2 linked regions of the Tribolium castaneum genome follow. The protein of the gene in region 2 interacts with the protein of the main gene of each other region in a biochemical or structural test. Links are inferred from orthologs where the notes say so. Each region holds a gene or a part of one and is shown on either strand. Other genes may lie near its edges. The genes, in order: Mkk4 and Mekk1.

Evidence for each region.
Region 1: the proteins of Mekk1 (region 2) and Mkk4 form a complex in vitro, tested with the Homo sapiens proteins (2 studies listed by BioGRID, with this or other methods). The link is inferred for Tribolium castaneum from reciprocal best matches to the Homo sapiens genes MAP3K4 and MAP2K4.

What each region holds. Positions count from the first base shown.
Region 1 is NC_087399.1:2,894,898-2,903,519, reverse strand, and holds the start of Mkk4 (dual specificity mitogen-activated protein kinase kinase 4), read right to left. Parts: upstream 2,803-8,622; 5' UTR 2,621-2,802; coding exon 2,599-2,620; intron 2,548-2,598; coding exon 2,361-2,547; intron 2,296-2,360; coding exon 2,263-2,295; intron 2,177-2,262; coding exon 1,879-2,176; intron 1,481-1,878; coding exon 1,175-1,480; intron 1,123-1,174; coding exon 896-1,122; intron 845-895; coding exon 679-844; 3' UTR 1-678. Other genes in the region: mRpS7 (small ribosomal subunit protein uS7m), read left to right, coding at 2,927-2,991, 3,109-3,288, 3,336-3,789; zip (myosin heavy chain, non-muscle), read right to left, coding at 5,211-5,349, 6,046-8,622. UniProt on the Homo sapiens protein: Dual specificity protein kinase which acts as an essential component of the MAP kinase signal transduction pathway. Essential component of the stress-activated protein kinase/c-Jun N-terminal kinase (SAP/JNK) signaling pathway.
Region 2 is NC_087397.1:8,507,515-8,515,451, reverse strand, and holds part of Mekk1 (mitogen-activated protein kinase kinase kinase 4), read left to right. Parts: 5' UTR 1-116; coding exon 117-241; intron 242-287; coding exon 288-750; intron 751-2,333; coding exon 2,334-3,736; intron 3,737-5,317; coding exon 5,318-5,453; intron 5,454-5,503; coding exon 5,504-5,665; intron 5,666-5,717; coding exon 5,718-6,184; intron 6,185-7,937. UniProt on the Homo sapiens protein: Component of a protein kinase signal transduction cascade. Activates the CSBP2, P38 and JNK MAPK pathways, but not the ERK pathway. Specifically phosphorylates and activates MAP2K4 and MAP2K6.

The sequences.
Region 1 (8,622 bases), on a different chromosome or scaffold from region 2:
TCTACTGTGGAGGCATTAAACCATGTATGTGATTTTCCGTATCTGGGAGCGATAATAAACTGTTGCTTGTTTTCTGTACAATTTTACTTTACATACTCAACATCGTGTCGTAAATAAACGTACAATTTGCTTATTCTTAAACAATTGAGTAAAAAATTAAATATTAACAACATACACTAATTATATACAGTCAAAGATCGTACATGGTACAATAGAACAGGCAACGTTTTATTGTTTAAAATCGGTAACAATTTGAAAATAAGAAAAATATACGCGAAAAGCACCTCGAATGCATCCAATAAATGCTAAGACATCACATTAAATTCGAACTCAAGACCGGACATGTACTATATTATATACAATGGACTGTTTTCTTAATCAGTGGCTTCATCTATGTAACATTTACGTTACTAAAGCTATTATTTATTACATTTGAACCTAAACATAACGCGACCAATCAATAGAACACTTAAATCGGACTAACCCCGAACGATTTGATAGTATTGTCAGATTGTTTTCAAGCGAATTAGTTCGATTTAATCCGATTGGTCTGAAATCTCATCTCGAGTTTATCACCAAGGAATCGCGAACGCCGCGCAATTGCACAAACTTACCAACCAATAAATGATTAAGCGACAACTCACTAACAGTTTTCTCTACATCACCTGACTGCTTACTTCACTGCTGGTTCGTCGTGAACGCGCTGATCCCGTTGTTCGCCATCTCGTCCATGATGCGCGAAACGTAGGCTGCAACGTCCACTTTCTCCTTCTGCGCCCGCAAAATGAACGGGTCTTCGAGCAGTCGCTTGTACTTTGGTCTGGAGTGTTCGTCTTTTATTAAACTAGTGAAGGGAAAAATCAATTTGGGACACAAAAACCACTTGCCGCCTTACCAAGTATTTACAAAATTAACAAACTCTGACGTAAAAGTATTGGCGTTATGGTTTTCGGTAAGGCGCGGGGGTTCCCCGTTAACGACTTGGTGTAATTGGTCGAAAACGCTCGACCATCTCGGGTAGGGAAAACGACCGGTGGCCACCTCCATCAGCGTTATTCCCAACGACCAGACATCGCTTCGCACGTCGTAGCCTTTGGCCGTCTGTGGATCGATTCTCTCGGGCTAAAAATACGCAAATTATTTGGGAAAAACACCACAAATCTGCATTATTTACAGCCATATACGGGCGACATCCAGCATCACGTGTCCGTGCAATTGAATCGACCAACTGTCCCGAAATTCCAAAATCACACAACTTGATGTTTCCCTTCCTGTCTAGTAAAATATTGCTTGGTTTTACATCTCGATGTATTATTTTTAGTTTCTCCTTTAAGTAGTTTAAGGCTTTCACAGTCGCTAGGGCTATTTTTCCGAGGATTTCTTCCGGAATTCGATCGCCCAGTTTGTCGTAGATGAATTTGTAGAATTTATCCAATGAGGTGTCCATTAGTTCCATCACGATCCAGCAATCCCCCTGCAACTTACATCATAGAGCAAGAAACACCTTCACAAGTCTTTGAATAATGTGAATAAAATATGCAACAAACGGACCTAGTTATTTTTTGCCATTACATAAAATAATAACAATTCAAAACCGAACTAATCGAATGAAACATGCGAAAATAACATCAATCTGGTATTTTTTCAGGTAGTTTTGGCGATACTGTTAGAAAAAAATGCAATTCCTTATCTCAAAAATAAGTATTAACATTGTTTTACTGCTTCTCTATTTAAAAATAGAACGCTTACTAATTTATCAAAACATAAATTAAATCCACGATTGTGCAAGTTTGGTGTTTTTATACCGCTAAACAAATTTACTTTCGTTTATCTTCAAATACGTAAGATTGAAAAACAAAAAAACCCAAAGCAACCAACCTCCTTAAACAGCGCCCCATAAAACTGCACGATGTAATGGCACTCGTTGCTTTTCATCACCACATCCAAGTCCATCAACAGTTGTTTCTGTTCCTTTTCATCAACCGTTGACCTTATTCTCTTCACCGCAACCACAGTTCCCGACTTTCTATGCACCATTTTATTCACAGTCCCAAAACCGCCCCTTCCTATCTCCCCAATGTCCTGCAGATCATCGGACGTAAAATCGTAGGTTTTGCCCCCAATTTGGAGCTTCCCTGAGGAATTCATCGACTGGCAAATTTTGAACCGGGAATCCCTATAAAAAATAAACAAACCGTACAATCACAAAACACACAAACTCGACCATGCAAAGACAAAAACACGAAAAATGACTCTGGTTACCTTTGCTGTTTATTTCTTTCACTCGGTCCAAAACTGCGAATTCAAAATCAAATTAATGAGAGATGAGTTGAAAACAAACAAGTCGCAACAAAACTCACCGCGTTCTATCAATCGTGGGATCGACTGTGGACTTGGAGATGGTCGGGAGGCTCATTTTGGGGCGGTTTGTCCCGGCTGCGGCCCCCAAACGCTCGCTGGTGGCCCCCGGCTGGCTGGGCAGCGGGCGAAAGCCCCCGATGGAATTCACACTGTTGGGCAAGTCTATGCTCAGCATAGGCCTCCGGACTGGAAGCAGCCCCCAATAAACACAAAACAATTGCAACTTTGCACACATACCTTGATTGGACTGATCTGCCATTTTGCACAAAAATTCGACCAAATTTAAGACGCGAAAAACACAACTAACGTGCCGAACTAGCTCATCGAAGCGTCCCTAAGCTTAGTCTGGTGTCCGAAACCGATTAACATTTGATTTTTACTCAAAACTCACTCAAAAACTGCCTGGAATGGAACTAAACGACGCCATTTTGACGTCTACAAAAAGCCTACGGTTGGCTACAGTGGGAATACAACGGACCAGCACAAGTCATTGTGGCACCCAATTGTACCATCGTCCAATATTTGCTTGTCCGACTGTGTGCGGCGGGCATGCGCACGTGTTAACATGGCTGCGATTAAGTTATTTTCAAATAATTTGAAAATTATTAAAGGAAGTGTCCCCACTTTAAGGTAAACAAGCCCCAAATTTCGTTACCATCACTAAACGAATTGGTCTCACACTTGTTGTTGCCAATTTCCGCATTTGTGGTCCCCCTAACCACACATTTTCCAATGGTCAATTTTTAGCCTAATTATCCAGAAAAATGGCATGTCGCAGTACCCAAGTTATTACATACAGCCGGTCTATAAGAAGGAGGTTCAAGAAGAGTTGGCTAAAACCGGCGAGGCCCAGAAATTGACCCACATGCCCACGAGGGCAGCCCTCAATAACCAGACTTGTTCGCACACTCAGGATGACTTAGTCAAGTAAGGCCCCCACGATGGCTCCAATTCGCTTCAATACACTTTTACAGTCTTTTCACCAATTATGTCATGAAGGACGGGCTCAAACCCCTGGCTAGGGGGTTAATAGAACAGGCGTTTGAAAACATCAAGAGAATCCAATTGGAGAAGTACCACAAGTGCCAGGACCCCGAAATCAAAGCCCAGATTGAGTTGGACCCTCGTGCGATTTTCCACAAAGCTGTGGAGAATTGTAAGCCGATAATGAACCTAACACCCATAAAACGTGGGGGTGTTAGGTATCAAGTCCCAGTGCCAATCACGCCAAAGCGGAGCCAGTTCATGTCGATGAAGTGGCTCATAGCGGCGAGCAAAGAGAAAGATAAGAATGTCAGGTTCCATTATCAGCTAGCGCTGGAGCTAATTGACGCCGCAAATAATAAAGGAAGAGTAGTTAAGCGGAAACAAGACTTGCATAAGCAGTGCGAGGCCAATAGGGCTTACGCACATTATAGATGGAGCTAAACTTAATAAACACCTCGTAAATTATGAATATTTTATTGAAGCCTGCTTGATCTAAGACACCATACCTTACACACAACTTAAGTGTTTCTTTGGATGAAAACTGCTGAATTTTTAAATACAGAGGGTCGGTTAAAGACCGCGACAGCTCCGAAAGTGGCACTATGTCTTTCAAAGGCACCACAACGTCTTTCCGGGACCCCCAAAAGTTCAAATAAGCAAACTTGACTTGCTCTTGTTTTTCATTTAAATACACTATTCCGACTAGTTTATTTGCAAAGTAACCGAGACCGTACAAAGGCACAATTCCCGCAATTCCAAGAGTTGCAGTGAACAGGACATGGTCGTGCGAAAGAATGTTTAACTGATTTAAAATTGCAGTTGTTGGTAGCGCGACTGAGGTTAAAAGAGTTTGGTATAATTTGAGACGGTTGATTAGGCCTACGCCCCGGACGAAGGGGAACTTATAAACTGTCTTAAATTCGCTCTGTGTTACAGTACACAGAGGCTTAATTTGGCTGTACTGGGGGGAAATAAGCCGAATGAGAGACATCCTAAACTAAAAACAAAGACTTATTTTTGTATAATTCAACAAGAGGGACTCACTACTGTATTATTACATTACATAACTACTCCAAGTGGTAAGAAAAGTGCATATTTGGGCTTATAATGACACAAATCAGCAAGTCCTACTGTTGAGGTTAGATTTAGCCTATGCAACCTGTAATACAGTGTAGGGGACGTCGGGGTAAAATAGACTCACTGGACGAAAATCGTGTGTGCGTGTGCTAATTTGAAGTTACTTGCTTGGTAACAGTAAATTTAAAAACGTCGACTTTTTTACGATTTTATTGAACTCGTTAAAGTACAAATAAATCAGCCCGAAACCCAAAATATGTATATATTTTTTATACATGAAAAGGATATATACATACAAAAACCTGAAATTTTTTATACAAAAACGTCAAATATCAAAATTTCCTCGATGCTAGCGGGATTTTTTTACAAAATATATAATCCTATAAATGTTGTATAAAAAATGTCATTTGTCGTTAGCGATTATTGATTATTATTATTAATAGATACATAAATGTTATTTAAATGCTGATGCTTCCAACTAATTCCTAAATTTATAAAAGGTAAAGTACGATGAAACCCTAGAAACAAATTAAGCAAGTAGACTTTCATATAAATAAATGCAATCAACTGTTAAAAGTACAAATTAATCACTATAAAGCACGATATTAAAATTAATAAAAAAACTATAAATAAAAAAAATAATGAACTTGATTACTGATACTGATTAAGCGCCGAACTGACTGTCCGATTTTTACAAATAATCCACAAAATGCGCATATTAAAAATGCTAAGTACTAATAAGGGATATACAAATATATTTACAACCGAATGCGTAAAAATGCGACCTAATTGGGGGCGTCTTCGCCGTCTATGGCGTCATCCTGGGTTGTGGAATCGTCACCGGAGCCGTTGCCCCCGGACTGGATGGAGCCCCGACCGCTGAGTCTGGGCAGACCCATGCCGCTACTAGCCCCAGTCCCGCGCCTATCATTAAACCCACAAATCAACACACAACCAACAACAAATCCAGTCATTAGTCAAGCAAAACAAACAGAAAAAGCGAAAGAAAAACGGTTAGGCTAATACCATCAAACACCACATACCACATGATCACCGGAAGAACGCAACTGCTATCATTTAATGCTGAAAGAGCCAAAAGAGGGTGAACAAAAGTGGAAAAGTGAAACAGCCATTCCATTCAACGAACGCGACACTTTGCTTTCACTTTATAATCACAGCCCCATTTGTAAAAAATACAAATTGATGACGGACGGGACACAAAAAAAAATTGTTTATTGTTGAAAATCATTATTGTGCTATCTTAAAAAGCACTAATTACAATAATTATTATTGAAATAAAATGTAGAACTTGTTAAAACTACGAAAACGAAGAACAAGGCAATGGATAACGACTTGTGTTTACTTTTTGTTTATACATAACGGATGGGACAAAAAATCTTATGTGTGAAAATAACTAAAAAAAATATTCAGAGAATGAAAATTTAAATTTCTTGGACTTTTTTAACGACGTAAGAAATCAATAACGGACGGGACCGCAAAAGTTACGAAGATAAAAAATAATATTACTACTCAATTTCGGTGTCAGGTTCATTACCTGGAATGGCCGAATGACTGCGTGAGAGATGAAACGAAAGCGTGTAATTTGACGTGAAAACTCACCTCAGTTTGGTCTTAAGACTGTTAAGCTCCCGCGTCATTGATTCATTACTCTCCAGCATATCCTCATAATCCCTTTGCACTTTCCTCTTCTGCGCCTTCTCCCTCGTTATCTCTTCCTCGGCCTCATCCAACTGCCGCTTCAGCGTCTTAACCCGTGCGTTCGCCTTATCCACTTGCTCCTTATACTGGTCGGCATGTCTCCGCTCATCCTCCAACTGCATGACCAACTCCTTCAACTTCTTGTCCAACTTCCGGTTGGTCTTTTGCTGCGCCAACCTCTCCTTGGCCTCGACCTCCAACTGCTCCTCCAAATTCCCAATCTTGCTCTCCAACGCCGCGATCGTCGCCTTCGTCTTGGTCCTTTGTGCCGTCTCCAACTCACTCAACTTGGCCTTCAACTCCTTATTCTGTCTCTCGAGCAGCAATTTACCCGACTCTTGTTTCTGAGCCAGTGATCGTTCCGTGGCCAACTCACTCGTCAATTGCTCAATAGTCAACTGTGCCTTCCTTGCCCGGTCTTGCAACAGTTCATTGTTACTCTGCTCCTCTTCAATCTCCTCCTCAAGCGTGGCAATCCTAGCTTCAAGACGCCGCTTCTCATCGATCAACAACGCCCCCTTACTGTTCGTATTATTAACCTCTTCGAGCAGTTCATCGCGTTCGGCTTCGGCAGCTCGACGAGCGCGCTCCGAACTGGCGTGATCTTCGCTCAATTGAAGCACCTCAGCTTCGAGTGCTTTAACTTTACGTTCGGCTTCTTTACACCCGGCGGCGAGTTCGTCGCGCGAAGCGCGCGCTTCTTCGGCGTCTCGCACCGCCTCCTTGCACTGCTGTTGCGACTTCTTCAACTGTTTCAACGCGTCTTCTTTCATCTTGCATTGCATTTCGATCTGAGCTTCGAGCTCTTTCAAATCGCCTTCGAGTTTCTTTCGAGCGGTGACTGCGGCCGCTCTTTGCTTCCGTTCTTCGTCCAGTTCGGCCTCCAAATCGCGCAATTGTTTGACGATTCCGCGGCGTTTCTCCTCGGCTTGCTCCTCCTTGGCTTGGACGTCGCGTTCGAATTGCGCCCGCAATGCTTGCATGTTCACCTCAAGTCGGAGTTTTGCATCTTCGGTGAGTTGTAGCTCATCTTCCAGTTCTTCGTTCTGGGCTTTCAGTTCCGCCAGTTGGGTTTCAAGCGAACGTTTGGCTTTCTCCAACTCGTGCACGTTCTTGTCGGCGGTGCCTTGATTATTGACCAGTTCGTCCAGTTCGGCCTGAAGTTGGCGCTTGATGCGTTCCAGTTCTTCAACTTTGACGTTGGATTCGTCCAGTTCGCGGCTCAGTGACAAGACTCGAGTTTCCTTCTCGCGGGCTTCTCGCTCAGCGGCGTCTTTTTCCGCCATCAGTTGCTCACTGACTTGCTTTTCTTCGGCCAAGACTTTATCGAAATTCTTCTGCTTCTTCTCCAGCTCGGCCACTTTCTGGCGCTGCGCCTCCAAATCAATGTTAGTATCTTCCAGTTCGGCGGCGATCTTCTTCTTGCTTCGCTCCAACTTGTCGTTGGCCGCGGTCAATTCCTCGACTTGACGTTGCAACAACTCCAAATCTTTGGCCAGTTTCTTCTTGCTTTCTTCCAAAATCGCCGATTGTTCGGCCTCATCTTCGGCCTTTTTCTTCGCTTCGGCCAGTTGGACCATAACCGCGTTCAATTGTTTCTCGAGATTTTTCTTCGCTTCTTCCTCCTCCTCGATCTGTTCTTGCAAATTCTCCTTGTCCGACTCCAATTGGCGCAGTTTCGAACTCAAAGCCAACTTCTGGCGTGTCTCCTCCTCCAGGGCACTTTGTGCCTCGGCAAATTGCGATTCGATAGTTCCTTGATTCTTCACAGCTGCGGACGCTTTCAGTTCGGCTTCCTCCAGCTGTTGGACCACATTGTCCATCTCCTGTTGTAGTTTTTGATTTTTTTCGGCAAGTTCGGCTCGAGCTCGTTCAATTTCGCCCAGCTTGCCTTGGATTTCGACCAATTGGCTCTCGGCTTGTTTTCTTCGCCGTTCGCCTTCTTGTCGACTCGCTCCGACATTTCGCAACTCGCTTGTCAAGTCGGCGTTTTCGGCTTCGAGTCCTTGCTTCGCTTTTTCGATACTGGCTTTCTGTTTCTTGATATTTTCCAATTGTTCGTTCAAGGAAGCCAGTTCTTGGGTGTGTTTGTGGCGCATGTCGGCCAAAGTCGCTTCATGGACTTGGTTCTCCTCTTCCAAGTTCTTCTTCAAATTGGCGAGTTCTTGTTCACGTTTTGAACGCAATTCTTGTTGGGCGGCTGTGGTATCAAGTGAGTCCAGTAGTTCGTTTTTCAACGCTTCAAGTTCTTCGTTTAAGTCGCGTTTTAATTTTTCGGCCTTGCTCCTGGCGGCTTTTTCCGCTTCTAAATCCTCTTGTAGTTCGCTGAGTTGGCTTTCCATCTCCCGGAGGGCTTTCTGGGCTTGGGCCTTAAGGGCGCCTTCTTCGTCGACTCGGACCATAGCCTGGGCCAACTCCTCCTCTCTTTTGCCCAACTGTAATTGCAATTCTTCAAGTTGTGATTTTTTCTCGGCAAGT
Region 2 (7,937 bases):
TTACCGTAAGAGATTAATTACGATGAGTGATCCCAATAGTACATACTTTAGTAAATTACGGTAAGGGGTGTTGTATTACGCAATTCAATTGTGTATTAACCAACACGTAAGAAGTTATGGCCTACAGCCCCATCGAGCAAGACTGTGATTTAAGTGACTACGATTTGTACAGTAAAACCCCACCACGAACCAAAATTTTGCGTAAAAATCGCGAACGCAAGCAGAAACACAAAGATACAAGGTAAAAAACCACTCTTTCTAACCCATCTCACTGAGCAAAATTCCAGCACGATGTCCTCACCTAAAGTCATCAAACCTAAGCCCTTAAGTCGGCGTAACACCATCAGCAGCATGTTCGAAGAGCTTGTTGCCAAGGCCGAAAATGACTCGGACCAAGGCTCCAAAAGGTCCAACAAGCGCCAGTTGAAAATGCTGCGAGGGTCTGAACGTGACCTGAAGCTGGACATTGCCAGTGCCCAAGCGGCCTCTGAGAAAAACCAAGAATTCAAACACCCAAAAACACCACAACCTAGTTATCAGATCGAGAGCTGTAAAAGATTCATGAGCTTGTCTTGTCGGACTGTTCCTTGCTCGAAACTGTTGAAGAGTAAAAAAGATAATAAAGTCAAATGTGACGAAATTAGCAATGAGGAGTGTTCCGAAAATCGAGTCGATTTTTACAACACTTTCTCAATGCTAATTCGAATGGGCTGCGGTGATAAAACGCAGGAAATGAGTCACAGACGCGCTGTAAGTATTTTATTTTATATTTTTTTAAGTCTTAAGTGTTTGTTCGGTCTAGAACGATGATTGATCAGTATTTTATTTATATTTTCTTCTCGATGTTATAACAAGGCCATAACTAGTATTGACTCTGAACTCAAAAAAATCAGTGTTTGGTTTTTAAGAAACTAAATTTTAATCAAACTTTGATATCTTACAAACTATTTCTCGTAGACAAAAAATGAATTCAGATTCAGAATTCTTGAATAATTTTGCTCATGAAAAACTCAGAAACAGTTAAAAGCTTTGATCTCGTACAATTTTGATGAACCAAACTTAATAATGGTTTATAAGTTTATACCAGTTTTTAATTGTTTATAAATTATTATTTAAACTTAATATTATTGCATTGTCAGGGAGATTACGTGTGTATGTAAAAATCCAGCTCGGTCGGATAACAGGAACTTTTTCAAATTTGATTCGCAAAATATGAAACGGATAACAAAGCAAGTTAAATAAAAACTTAAAAAGACGTTTGTTTGTTAATAGAATATACATTTTTTATAAGTTTTAATAAATAAAAAAAGTAATTGGACATTACATAGTATGCGGTAATTTTTTTATTAGTTTTTAATGTCTCTCTAAAACAAACGATACTTAACTGTAGTTTTGTACAACATCGAAAAATTGACACTAGACTAAATAAAGATCAAAAAGGCAAACCAGGGTCTAGAATTCGTTAAAATGGTTCAAGACATCAAGAAATTCCAACATTTAAAAAATTAAAAGTGCCCATTTCTTCAAACTAATCTTTACCTTAAGGATACTACTAGCTGTAGTTGAAAAATAAGAACAGTTTCGAAATCCTCAGACAATTTTCTATAAGAAAAACTTATATCACATGTAGTAAAAAACATAGGTATTCAGAAATCTAGAATAATCTAAGCTCAAGTATATATTTTGATCCGAACTATCTAGCTTCAATTAAAAAACAATTATAAGTTTAAAAAAAAGTTTTATTTTTTAAAGATAACTAAAAGGTAAAAAATGTTTTTGTCAAAGGAGAGTATTTTCGCTTACAAATTATGATTCTAAAATTTATAAAAACTTTGGGGGTTATTAACTATAGGATTGCATTGTCATGATTATTACGTAAGTATGCAAAATTTCAATTCATTCTGACAACAGAAACCCTTTTAATTTGGCTCGGAAAGTATGAAACATACAGTCAGACAACAAAGCAAGTTAAATAAAAATTTTAAGAAAGTACTCATTTCTTAATACAACTATTATTGTATCTTGAGGATCTAAACTTTGATTTTAAAAATTATTGGTTATAAAGCCAGATTCGAAATTTTCAGATCATTTTTCTTGGGAAGAGCTGAAGTTTGAGCTGTTTTGATATATGGGTTAGTTATCCGTAGAGTTAATCTAAGATAAATAGTATTTTCCACATTTTGTGGAAGTTTGTTATCACTGCTAAAAACAAACAAATGATGGCAATTCGCTACCTCCAACAACTTTTACTGAACATTCATTGTTTTTGCTGAATAAATATTATACCTGATGTTTAAAACTCGCACACTACCGTTGTTTAATTTTTTTTATAGCTGAGCAAGGAGGAGCATTTGTGGCAAAACGAATTTAAAGATTTGATTTGGCTTGAATTGCAAGCGTTCCATGCGGACCGAACCCCAAGCGAAGAAGACAGATACTTGTGTTCCGAACGGGAAAAAGTTGAACCTCTTTTACATGATATAATGACTTATCGCTACCAAAAAAATTCGAAATGTTACTCGACCCAAAGCAGCGACAGTGGCGTTGAGGACGACTGTTCTGGTTGTCTTTCAATCTACTGTGGTTCGTGTCTTGAGGCCCAAAACGAAGCCCTTAAAGATGTGGAAGAATTGATGCAAAGATTATCAGCGGTGGAAGCTTTGTTCCCTTCCGGACACGCTTTTGCCGAACTGTACCCATTATATAACAGTCCTGAGTTCATAGCGAGGGTCAAGGCTATCAGTTTATGGTACAACATGACGCGACAGCAGAGACTGAAACTAATGATTCTTGTTAAATTATTAGAAAATAAAGTGAGTAGAGATGATGATAAAAACGGGACGGAATCAAACAGTCCCAGTGATAGCAATAACAGTTCCTCATCTTCGGTAAATGAGTCGTTCTATGATTGCAAGTCAAGTCAGGATGCTACTGTTTTTTCTTTTGCGCCTTTTCCCTTCTTACATGTGCATAAGTCGGAAAGCTCGGTCTCACCATATCGAAAATACATCGAAAACATTCTTAAAACGCGATCGCTCCACAAAAGTTTGAGTTTCTTGGATCATCTCCAAATGGTTGTTTTGCGACGTGTTCAGCTAACCTTGACCAAACCGGAAACCGACGATATTTACAACAAAGTGACTTGTGAAACGGAAGATGAAGAGTTGCAACGTTTTGGGTACTTTAGCCCTGAAGCCAAAGCCTTGAACTTGCCATCCTATCGTGCAATTTTTCTCTTCCTTGCCGCAATTCCGCTCAAAATGATACACGAGTTTTTGAAGATGCGTTTGGAGCAAAAACCTGAAAAACCGTCTCCTTTGAGCGTCCGCCAACTGATGAGGGAGTTAAAAGAAGGCTTAAAAGTCGCAACGCAACAAAAAGAAAAGATCTTGAAGTACATTGACGGTGCGATCTCTGATAGCAAAAAACCGAACGATGTGTTTGAAGAAAAGATGAGGGATTATAACGAGTGTATGTTGCGGGTGTTTAGTGACTATTTGGACTATCTGGAACAGTGGGCCTTGTTGCACCATGAGACTTTCCAGAAGAATTTGTTGGAAGAAGAGTGGCATTTTTCGTGTAATGTGATTAAGTATATTCCGGGCGGGTCGGAACTTTTAGGGAAAAAGTTTGTGTTTATTTTGTGTTCGATTTTAAAGTCGGTCGCTGAAAGGCTGCACGATCGGATCGAGGACGTGCTTTGTAACATGCCCAAAGACGACAAAAATATGATCAAGTAAGTGACGGGAATGTTAATTTGTTGCCAAAAAAATTAATTCGATTCGGTGGGAAATTATAATAGTTTCCGCCAATTCCATTGTTTGCTGTTTATGTAAACAACAAACATGAACAAGCTTTAAATTTTTATTAACTGGAAGCGACAAATGATAATTTGATATAAGCGCTGTTGTAAATTTTTCTCGGCTAAACAAAGTGGAAATGAAAAAATGTGCAGCTGAAGGTCGCCCTTTATCGCTATTTCAGTTGTATATCAGTCAAATGCAACAGTCATGTGTTTGGAAAGTTTAAATATGCAATGAGTATTTTATTATCGCAAAAAGATAAACAGTATTTCACGCTTTTTTAGGGAAATTACTTCGTGAGAATAAATTAATAACTCGAATGTTTGCCTAATAGAGCGGTACAGTAAAGGCTCTTTTATCCGATCCTCCTGTAAGCAGCAAGTGTATTGACTGCGTTTGATAATTCGAATTGTAATTACTTTTTTTTTCTAAAATAATTTCAACTGCAAAAAAAACAGTAAAATTGAAGAAACCAATTAAAAATCTTTTTGTTTTTAGTGTTACTAATGTAGTTCAAAATCATTTGTTGGTTTGTTTTAACAGAAACTTTAACGTATCTCAGCTAAATTACTCCTCACATCATCTAATCTGAGCAAGTTGAATGAAAGGAAACCAGAGACCTATTTTACGATTAAAGTTTTCAACTTTTCATTTTAAAATTATTTCATAATTCACCATTACAAAAAAAGTGCTGAAATGTAGTCATTTTTTAAATTTTTTAACGTTTCCGTTGTATCGTTCCCTATTTTTGTTAAGGTAGAATGCAATTTAATGAAAAATAAAGAAATTTATTCTAAATATTTGCTGTGTCATTTTTCAGTTTTCAAGCGTTTTATAAAACAATGTAAAAAGAAAGATTTATAACAATCATTAATACAAGTGAGAAAACACAAGCTTAAAGTTCGAGGCTGTCGTTATGCAACGAGCGTATGCGAGAACTTTAAGCGTTTTCGCATAAGTGTTATTCAAATTTTTTTTAATGGGAACATTGTAATTTAAAACACGTTGCTACGAGAAGCGTGTTTTAAAATAGTGAAAACACGTTGCTATCGAAAACGTGTTTTAAAATAGTGTTTATAATATAGGATTCAGATTTTAAAAAGAAGGCTTAAAATGTAACCGACAAAAAAATTAACAAATCTTACTATTTATTTCTTAGAAGCCTGATTTTAAAATTGCTATGGGGACAAAAAGAAAGTTTAAATTGAAGTTATTCCTAATAATTGAATTTTCTTGATATTTTGTTAAATATTTTAATAATTCAGTAATAAATACTCGGAATTTTTACTCGTTTTAATCCGTACTTCAAAAATCTATGATCTGCAGTGTCATTGCAATAATTAATCTGGATTAGTTCCATTTTTTCAATCAAAAATTTTAATCTCCACTAACAAACTATTCATTATTTAAAGCCGAATTTTGCCTGAATACTAAAGATTTATAACGGAACTGGGTGATTTCAACATACACTGCAGACGAAAGCATACTGATTATTTTAAATTGTTATATTCCAGGCAAACCGTGTTCGTCATTTGCCGCGAAATGCAGTCTCTCTTCAACGAAGAGCGCGAAATGAGCATCAAAACCATTGCTTTTTGCAAGACTGTCTTTCGCCACGACCTTCACCCTGATTGCAGATCAGAACTAGTAGTACGTTTTTTCTTCTTCATAATTAGCCAAATCAATAACTAACATTTTAGTGCTCAATAATTTCCCTAAAATGTTCAATACCCGACGCCATAGGCCGTGTCCAGTCCGAATTCGATCAAGTCAAACTAGACTCATTTGAAGAAATCGAACGAACGGCTATAGTCTCCCGCACAAGGGAAATCTTAATGCAAGCCTACCGTTTCGGCTTCGAAGTACTATAAAAAATTCACAAGCTTCACCGTCAATTAACTTCCAATTTTTTAGTTTTACAAAGAAATGTCCGATAGCATCCCTACGGACAGGCGCGAGAAACTCGCTAGAAGTATGGTACAATTTGCGAATTTGTGGATGAAATTCGTGACTGAACGATGCGAGAGGGGGCGAGGGATGAGACCACGGTGGGCTTATCAAGGGTTGGAGTTTCTCTTAACTGTGTGTGAACCTCGAAACACTAAGCATTTGACGGAAGAAGAGTTCGAAGATCTGAAGAAGAATATGGATGTTTGCATAAGTCATGTGATAGGAACTACGGCTCCTTCGACGCCGGAGTCAGGGTTTTATTCGGCGTCGCCGAGGAGTTCGATTGAGCATATAAGGGCCAGGTCGAGGGGGTCGTCCCCGAGTCCGAGGCCTTCGTATAAAAGCCAAAGATCGAATAGTCGCAAAACTAGCATGGAACAAGGGTCGCCGGTTATTGATAGTTTGGATGCTATTAGTTTTAATCCACACAGGTAAGTGGGTTTGCTTAGTTAATTTTCGAGTGCGAGCTAAACCAGAATTTTTCTACGAAGAAAGCTAAATTTTATTGCAGATTCTCATTGACTAAGTTTTTGTTAACGCTTAAAAAAAATTCTATTATGTCTGTTTATTATAAAAATGCCTATTCGGTGAAATAAATTTTCTAATTATTATCAGTATGAATAAAAACTAAAAATGTATGTGATAAAATTTTAATTACTTGATTAAGTTGTCTGGGACAGTAACCCAACTCTCGTCGGGTATAGTTAATAAATAATTAATAAAATTAAGGGTAATAAAATTATCTGTTTTTTTTAAACTAAGAAATCCAAATTGAATGAAATTTGAAATTTTAAAATTGACAGAAAATGTGAATCTAATGAAAAATTTAGAGAAGACTATCAAATTTTGCAAAATTTGTAATCGAGTTTGTAACAAAACATGTAATGTTGATGCATTTTACAGATGCAGGCTTCGTAAAATTACGTGAACCACCCTGTATTAAGATCTAGAAGCATATTTATTTCTTGCTATTTCTTTGTTTTCTCTTGACTTGTGGTAAAAAATGTTCGGCTAAACATAAAAATGTACGCAATTTTTCCCAAATTATTTAATTTTTAATTATTTGTTTAATTTTTTAATTTTTTTCCCTTGCTTTTGTATTTCCGATGTTGTCGGATGCGATTTATTGGCGAATTTGCTGGTTTCTTAAATGTTTTGTATTCCATAAGATTTCTTACATTGGATAAACTTTTAATCTTTTAACATTTTATAATCAAAAAAAGTTTGGTTTGTCAATAACTTAAATTTATTAATCGGACTTTCTTTTCATTATCGCGTCGTTATTTTTGAAAAATTGGTCGTATGTTTGGCAACTGAAAATGTTAAGCTGAGAATCGGACATTGTGATCAAAACAAAGTTCATTTGGTCGAAACTGTAATAGTACTTACCTTTTGCAAGTTTTCTCTTTAAATTTATTAAAAATTCTGATGGATTAGTTATTTTAATTGGCGAATGTTCAAAATTATAACACATCTATTTAAATAATTTCTTACTTCAGAATCAAGGGCCAAACAAAAAAATTATAAGATACACAAAATGTTTAGACATAACGGATTTTTCTCATACTTGGGTAACGTCTAAGAAAAATAAAGCTTCAAATGTTTAAACTTATTAATGATAAGTTCTTTACAATTATAAAAAAAATTGCAACTAAAACATGTAATTTTAATAGTAAATTGGTTTCTCTTTTGTACCCTTTTTTTGCTGCACAGGAAATTAAATTTAATTGTTTACAAAAATTTGATTCATACACATAATTTTTTCTACTGTTAAACCATTTATGGACCACTCTAAGATTTTTGTATGCCATCATTTCTAATTAATTTTGAATTTTACCTAACTTTTTGAGAACTATAATTTGTAAAAACCTCGTGTTCATTGACTTTGTTATTACTAATTGTGAAACAAATTAAACAATCTGCTTAAAACTGTTTCGTTAATTAGTCTATAATTGCTGTAGCAGCTTCTGAAATAGAATAAAATAAAATGTTTGCCAAGTGAACGCTTTCTTGAAGTATTATCAGCTAACTGTGCGAACTAAAGTTCAAATATAGGTCTATATTTGCAAAATTTAGTAAAAATGTTAAATTTTGAGTTTATAATTCGGCTAAACGAGATTACAAAAGTACCACGTAAAGATTTTGTGAGATTTTGCGGAAACGGGAGAGAATGAATATTATTCT